2 linked regions of the Macaca mulatta genome follow. The protein of the gene in region 1 interacts with the protein of each later gene in a biochemical or structural test. Links are inferred from orthologs where the notes say so. Each region holds a gene or a part of one and is shown on either strand. Other genes may lie near its edges.

Region 1 (3,803 bases):
CTGGCTGGCTGCTGGCCATGCCTGATGGAGTCCGCCAGCGGCCCCCCAGTCCCAGCCCCTCTGCCTCTCGGGAGCCTGTGGAACATGAGACCTGAAAAGACAGGGTCAGTGCCGCCAAGGTCACCGTGGGGCTGGGCCTGGTTCCGACTGGAGCCAAATGAGTGACGAGCAGAGAGTGTTGGGGGATGGCAGTGCCTGGTGCCCCTGGGCCCTTCCAGGGCTGAAAGCCGAGCACCAGGATCTTTCAATCCCCTCAGGGGAGCTTCACTCAGCAGCCTGACCTCAGGCCACCCCTAGGGACCTGCAACTCCAAGCCTGGCCCCATGAGGCATCCAGTGGGAGATGACCTGGCCCGGGCAGTGTGGCATGCTGGTGGGCCTGCCCGGTGTGGAGCAGCGGTGCCCCAGGGAACAGGCCATCTGCTGCCCAGCTTGATGCGGGGTCAGGTGAGGAGGGGATGGAAAAGGGAGGCTGCTCGGGGTTGGGGGAACTGGCCTCTGGCCTCCTTGCAATGCCACCAAGGGCATCCCGCATGGCTCACCCACCCTGCTAGGCCCACACCACTGGAGGTGAGACCCTGCTTCTGCACCACCCTCGCCTCTGCAGAGACCCCGCAGTCGGAGCTCTGGAGCCGGTCCCCGCTGCACCCCAGTGGCCTCACCTCGGCTCTCATCCACATAGATGATGTAGTGATCCCACCCGTCCTGCTGCTCCAGCATGTACGTCACCCAGCAGCCCTCTGAGTCCCTCTCCTTGCAGGTCCTGCCCTTCACGGGGTTGTTCGACAGCTGTAGGCGCCGACACGCCGCACTGCAGTTCTTCCCGAAAGGGCCTTTGTCGAACTTCAGGCACTCAGCACAGGAGCTGTGGGGAGCCAGGCGTGAGCGTGGGTGCCAGGGCGTGCGGGGGCTCAGGCATCGGGGGCTTGGGCTTGGGTGTGTGTCCACCAGGTGGGGCAGGTGGGGTTGGGGTGTCCTCAGGCCAAGGAGGGGGCCCGAGTGGGGCAGATGCGGGGTGCAGTGGGTGAACTGGGAGCCTGATCCCAGGGCCCATGGCAGGTGCGCACAGGAGGGAGGGGGGCACAGGGGTGCAGCGGCCGCTGAGGGCTCCTCAGTCCAAATGCGCCCGCAGAGAACCCTGAGGTGCAGAGGTGCTCACTGGGGACCCTGAGTGAGCCCGGCTGCTGGAGAGGTGGCTGGGGAGCAGGGATCCCTGCCCACCCTGCCTGCTCCACCTGCACTCACATGTGCTCGCCGCAGGGCGAGGGGCAGCCGGGGCACTCCTGGCACAAAGGAGGCTGGTAATTCCTTTCGCACTCACACACGTTGCAGCGGCACCGGCCACGGCCGCTGCACTCGACGCGCCGTGCGTTCAGGCAGCCCTCGGTGGTCCTCTCGCACTGGCACGCTGAGCCTTCGAAGCCCTGGAGGCAGCGGCACTTCCCGCAGAAGCAAAGCCCCCTTGCTGGAAGACGGGGGCAGCACGACTAAGCTCCTGCTTGGCCTGGGGACCGAGACCCGCCCGAAACCCCACTGCTGTCGCTCCCTCCGGCCCACCTGCCTCCTCCAGCTTGGGGGATGTGCCTGAGCAAAAGGCACCGGGCCACTAGCCAGGCCTTCCAGCCCCTGTCAGCCACGTGGCCACCTCCTGGCCAGTCTGGGCCTGCCCCTGCCCTGCTATGAATGGGACCTCGGTAGGGCTGTGATCGTTCCTCCTGTGGACCCTCCCCACAAGGACCCCTTGCCCTCATGGAGACAGAAACTGAGGCAGGGCGGGGTGCAGGGTCGTCCAAGTTCCTGCTGACGCCCAGTGGCCGGGCGAGACTTGCGCTGTCTGTCCTCAGGATCCCCCCTTTTTGTTCCACTCGTTGCGTGTTCCAGAATGCACCCCCCAACGCCGAGTCTGTGCCGCAGGACGGCTGTTGTCCAGCAGGGACCCACGGGCTCACCCGGGCCGCCGCAGACCTGGCCGTTGTAGCGCTCACAGTTGACGGTGTCACACTCGCAGTACTGCCCGTATATCAGCTTGCCGGGGACGTCGCTGGTGTGGCACAGACACTGCCCGCAGACGCAGTCCCCCAGCCCTGAGCAGATGACGGAGTTGTTGTCCTTCCGGCAGCTTCCTTCCAGCTCCTGGCTGCTCCGGCCCTGCGTCTGGCACTCACAGGTTTTCCCAATGTAGCCAGTGTCACACCTGGGGACAGGAGGAGCTCCAAGGTCAGGCTCCCCACAGTGATGTGAGACGGCCGCCCCGTCCTCCAGGCCCCTTGCCCTTGGTGGAGAACACCCCTATGGCACACTCTCTGTGCCTTCCTCGAGGCCTACTGAGGACCTGCCATGTACTAAATGTGCTCAAAACGTGCGGGGGCCCTGGGCTCCCTCCCCAGGATGTCCCGAGGGGAAAGCAGACACCTGGCCTCGGCCTGAGCATGCAGCGGCTCGGCAGGCTCACTGTGCAGCTGTGTTGCTGCCATGCACATGGCCTGTGCTGCGACACCGGTGCCCTGTGAGTGGCTGGTGTCTGCTCCTGCATGCCCCACGTGGTGGCCAACGGGGACTTGGCACTGCCACCTGCCACAGCCCCGCCCTCTCTCCAGCCAGCTGCCGCCTGCGTTTGTGCACTGACCGGCCAGGTTGTGGGAGAACTCAGGGACAAGTGGTTTTGTCAGATGTGGAAGCTGTCACCAAGACGCGGGCAGACAGGAGCCCCTGAGGCATCCTCAGGGACGGCCCTGCCATGGGCTGTCTTGCTCCCCAGAGGAGGAAGCCACAGGACCGAGCGTCTGATTACCTGTGGCAGGGCACCCCGCGACACCTGCCAAGTGTTTCGACTGAGTCACCCCTACAGTCCCGTGAAGAGGCCGCCCCAGGACTGCACACCCAGGATAGTGGGCAGGGTGGGCACTGAGGCACGGGGACAGCCAGAGACTACCAAGACCACAGAGACCATCACTGTCCTGAGAAATGGGAGGAGGCTGGGGGCAGCAGGGACCTGCAGGTCCACTGCCACCGGGGCGTGGACTGGCACAGCAGTCTGGAGAGGGGAGGAGGTGGCCAGAGCAAACGGGGCAGAGCCCTGGGAGGTCAGCCCAGCAGCTCCGCCAGGCAGGCAAGGAAAGGGGGAGAGCCATCCAGCCCCAGGGTAAGCTTCCTGGCTGAATGCCGTGTGAACCTCCCCGCTGGGTCCACCTGTCCCCAGCTTCTCCCTGAGGTGGGGTGCCCACGCCTGGCAGGGGGTGTGCACTCCCGAAGGGAGGCCTATGGGGCCCAGGCTGCCAGAAGCAGTCACCTGTCCCAGGAGGCTCTCTGGCCTCTCATGCCCCAGGGCTGCCAGCCTGATAGCCTTGGGTCCCCAAGGACAGAAAGAAGCCAGCTCCGAGGGTCAAGGAAGGTCAGGCAGAGAAAGTGACCTACTCAAGGCCATGGGCACGCCCAGTGGGGACTCCTTGTGCCCCTGACATGGGCCTCTATCCTCTGGTGAGGGGGTCCTCCTGCCCACCAGTCCCCTGCCTTGGGTCCTCCATGGCCAGAGAGTGTAGAGTACAGGCTGGCATCGCTGGTGCCCTGGCTCAGGAGCACGGGGGAGGGCTTGCCGAGGGTTTCTGGGTTCCAATCCCAAATCTCCCCACCTCCTGCAGAAGGGGGCCCCCAGGACGCCCGATCTGTGGAGTGGGGGTGGGGATGGAGCCACCTGCGCCCACCTTACCTGCTTACACCTGCCCTGTGGGGTGGGGCTGGGGGAGGCTTCATGGGAACCTGCACCCACCTCACCTGCAGACACCTGCCCTGTGGGGTGGGGCTGGG
Region 2 (3,903 bases), on another chromosome or scaffold:
GTAGCTGGGACTACAGGACACCACCATACCTGGCTAATATTTGAAAAACATTTTTGTAGACATGGGGTCTCACTATGTTGCTAAGGCTGATCTCAAACTCTTCGCCTCAAGCGATTCTCCCACCTAAGCCTCCCAAAATGCCAGGATTACAGGTGTGAGTCACTGTGTCCAACCAGATTTTAACGTGAAGTTGGTGCCCTCCTCCCTCCCAAGAAGTAAGGTGGAGAGAGTCAGCCCTCCAGGAATCAGACTGGCTCCTCACTCCCTGAGACACGTAGCTTCCCCCTCTTTGGGCCTCAATTTCCCCATCTGTAAGGTGTGTGAGTATAGCCACCCTGTTCCTTGCTAATACAAGTAACTCAGCACAGGGCAGGTAGCAACTGGCTATCTTGCAGGTAAGGGCAGGTAAGAAAGGGGCTGCCGGGAGTGGTGGCTCACACCTGTAATCCCAGCACTTTGGGAGGCCGAGGCGGGCGGATCACGAGGTCAGGAGATCAAGGCCATCCTGGCTAACACCGTGAAACCCTGTCTTTGCTAAAAATACAAAAAAATTAGCCGGGCGTGGTGGCGGGCGCCTGTAGTCCCAGCTACTCCGGAGGCTGAGACAGGAGAATGGCGTGAACCCAGGAGGCAAAGCTTGCAGTGAGCCGAGATAGTGCCACTGCACTCCAGCCTGCGGGATGAGCAAGACTCCATCTCAAAATAAAAAAAAGAAAGAAAGAAAGAAAGAAAGAAAGAAAGAAAGAAAGAAAGAAAGAAAGAAAGAAAGAAAGAAAGAAAGAAAGAAAGAAAGAAAGAAGGGGCTTACACGGTGGGCACTGTGGCTCATGCATGTAATTCCAGCACTTTGGGAGGCTGAGATGGGCAGATCACGAGGTCAGGAGATCAAGACCATCCTGGCTAACACAGTGATTAGCCGGGCGTGGTGGCACACGCCTGTAGTCCCAGCTACTCAGGGAGGCTGAGGCAGAAGAATCGCTTGAACCTGAGAGGTAGAGGTTGCAGTGAGCCCAGACCGCGCCACTGCGCTCCAGCCTAGGTGACAGAGTGAGACTCCGTCTCAAAAAAAGGAAGGAAGGAAGGAAAGAAGGAAGGGAGGGAGGGAGGGAGGGATGGAGGGAGGGCAGGCGGCAGGGCAGGCCTATTTGTATTAGGTCCCTCAGATTCTGCTGCCTCCGAAGGTGGGAAAAAATGTCTGAGCCCAGCACTGCCCCACTTCAAAGATTCTTGTCTCGGATTTGTTCTATCTTGGATGGGGGTGTGAGAACATTGACTCCATATATTTTCCAAGGGAGATTCTGGGACCATTCCCATTTCATAAAGGGAAATGGTTACTCAGTTAGAAAGCAGTGTGATCTGGGTCTGAGTCTGGATCAGAACGCTTTGTTTTTTGAGACCAAATCTCTCTATGTCTCCCAGGCTGGAGTGCAGTGGCACCATCTCAGCTCACTGCAACCTCCGCCTCCTGGGTTTAAGGGATTTTCCTGCCTCAGCTTCCCGAGTAGCTGGGATCACGGGTGCCCACCGCCATGCCAGCTAATTTTTGTATTTTTAGTAGAGACGGGCTTTAGTAGAGACCATGTTGGCCAGGCTGGTCTCCAACTCCTGACCTTAAGTGATTCACCAGTCTGGGCCTCCTAAAGTGTCAGGATTACAGGCATGAACCACCACGCTGGCCTGGATCTGAGGCTTTGTTGAGCTGTTAACCAAGCTGTCAATCTCCCACCTTCCTGGTTCCCCAAACTTACACCACCCGGAAAGATCCTCTGACCCCTTCCCTCTGTCCTAGCTAGGCTGGAGCTGGGGGAGGGTGTGCTGGCGCCTCCCACTTCTCAGCCTTGGGCCACGGATAAGTCAGCTCTGGAATTCCCCTGAGTAGAAGCAGCCCTGGACTTCCCCAGGGGCAGAGAGGATGAGGAACAGAATATACATCTTGAAGTGGGTGGGGGTCCCTTAAGCCTTGTTGGGTTGGCACACAGCCAAGTTCCCAAACCATCATGATTGAGTCCTGGGGCCAGGTGCTGTGCTGGGCCAAGATACCCTGCCAGGTGGCTGCTATGACGTTTCCCGTTTTACAGCTGAGAAACTGAAGTTTAAGAGGCCCAATCTAGCCAAGCAAGGCGGTGGCTCACACAAGAGCCCAGGAGTTCAAGACCGGCCTGGGCAACAAAATGAGGTCTGCCCCTCCCCTCCATCTCCAACCCCCTTTTTCAAAGCTGCAATGTATAGCCCGAGGCCACACGTGGAGGTGATGCAGGGTCTGGATTCGAACCCACTGACTGTTGCCTTTCAATCGCTGTCTCTAGCCCACCTTCCCATAAACAGCTACCTAAGTATGCATGACCTGACCTGGGAACCGGTCCTCCCGGAGTTTTGCGGAGCTGGCCCGATGGCAATCCCCACCCCTGACTCACCTAGGAGCAGAGCCCCGAGCAGGACCACGAGTATGGGCAGCGCGGGCTGGGGGCCGCTGGGAGCCATAGCGAGGCCGAGGTTGCAGCTCTGAGTAGCAGAGGAGCTCAGCGTCGAGTGGGACGCAGTGGGGCGCGAGGTCCTTTATAGAGCTAGCCACCTGGGGGCTAAGGGGCGGTGCTGCTTTCCCGGAAACCTCGCGCCTTCCCCTCCGGAACAAATGCTGCTGTATTTCCGGACTGAGAGGGTGCCAGGGCCGAGCAGGGTCGTCCTCCCTCTCTGGCCGCTGCAGCTCCGGAATTTCCGAGCTAAAGCAATCGGGCGGCGGTGGCGGGGCGATGACCCCGGGGGCTGCTCCCGGTCCACACGCCTCCCGTTCCCCGGCCAGGCTAAGCTTGAATCACGGTCTACACCGCGCTAAGCGGTTTATTAAGTACTGTTAAATACTGCCAACTACCCCGGAGAGTGGGGACTGTTACTGTGTCCATTTCACAAAGCAGTAAACTGAGACTCCAGGCTGCGAAGGGATCCGAACTCAAGTCCTCTCTCTCCAGTTTACGCAGGCCTCTTTAATCGAGTGGATGAGCCCCTTGCCTGGGTGGGGGACCAGGAATCCTCCCCGGGCTCCCTCCACTGAGGGGTGCCCCTCCCCCTAGGGTCACGTCCCCACCCAGCTAACACGGGCATTTCTCAAGAAGCGGCCAGAGCAGAGCCAGGCACCTCCCGGCTAACGCGAACCGTGGGAGTGACGATGCGCGGTCTCACCACGTCCGGGGAAATCGGTGTCCTCCCTCTACACCCGTGGGCACTCACACCCCCGCGGCCTCCTCGCTTCCCCTTTCGGCCTTGGCCGCGGGAGGGTCTTTACAGCTCCCAGAAAAAGGAAGGAAGCTGCGTGATCCCCACGCGCCGAGCCCTTCCGCTGGCGTCCCAGGCTCCGCGGGGAAACTGAGGCGGCTAGCTTGGATCTTGACGAGGGAGGAGAGGGGGGCGCTCGAAACCCCTACCTGTCGCTGGGAAACTGAGGCTGCAGCCCCCAGGCGCCGAGGCGAGGCAGGGAGAAGGGGCGCTCGAACCCCTTCCTGCAGCTGGGAAACAAGGCAGCCCCCAGGCTCCGAGGTGAGGCAGGGAGAGGGGGTGCTCGAACCCTTGCCCTCCGCGCGAGGCTCCCGCAACCCAGGCGCGTGCATTAAATATGAGTGGGTGTTTGCTTGGCCACCGCCTGTGCGTGTGACCCCAAGACTCGACATCCACCACGTCGAGGCTGGGGACTCTGAAGTCTCCAAGCGCCAAGCCGCGCCGCCTAAGGCTTTCCTGTTGTGGGGCGCGCGCGGCGTCGCCGTGGAGATCTCAGAGGGGCCAGGGAGGTCGCGCAGCAGAAAGGGAAGCGAAGGGGCCTGGGACGCGCAGGCCCTTCCTATCGGGGAAGGGGGCTGCGAGTCACTGGCCATCCAGAGACGCATATTTTCCCCGCCTCGGTCATTCCCAAGG

The links.
Region 2: the proteins of ITGB2 (region 1) and ICAM1 form a complex in vitro, tested with the Homo sapiens proteins (4 studies listed by BioGRID). The link is inferred for Macaca mulatta from reciprocal best matches to the Homo sapiens genes ITGB2 and ICAM1.

The regions. Positions count from the first base shown.
Region 1 is NC_133408.1:2,629,461-2,633,263, reverse strand, and holds part of ITGB2 (integrin beta-2), read right to left. Parts: intron 2,194-3,803; coding exon 1,949-2,193; intron 1,465-1,948; coding exon 1,245-1,464; intron 865-1,244; coding exon 662-864; intron 1-661.
Region 2 is NC_133424.1:10,990,915-10,994,817, reverse strand, and holds the start of ICAM1 (intercellular adhesion molecule 1), read right to left. Parts: upstream 2,532-3,903; 5' UTR 2,482-2,531; coding exon 2,415-2,481; intron 1-2,414. UniProt on the Homo sapiens protein: ICAM proteins are ligands for the leukocyte adhesion protein LFA-1 (integrin alpha-L/beta-2).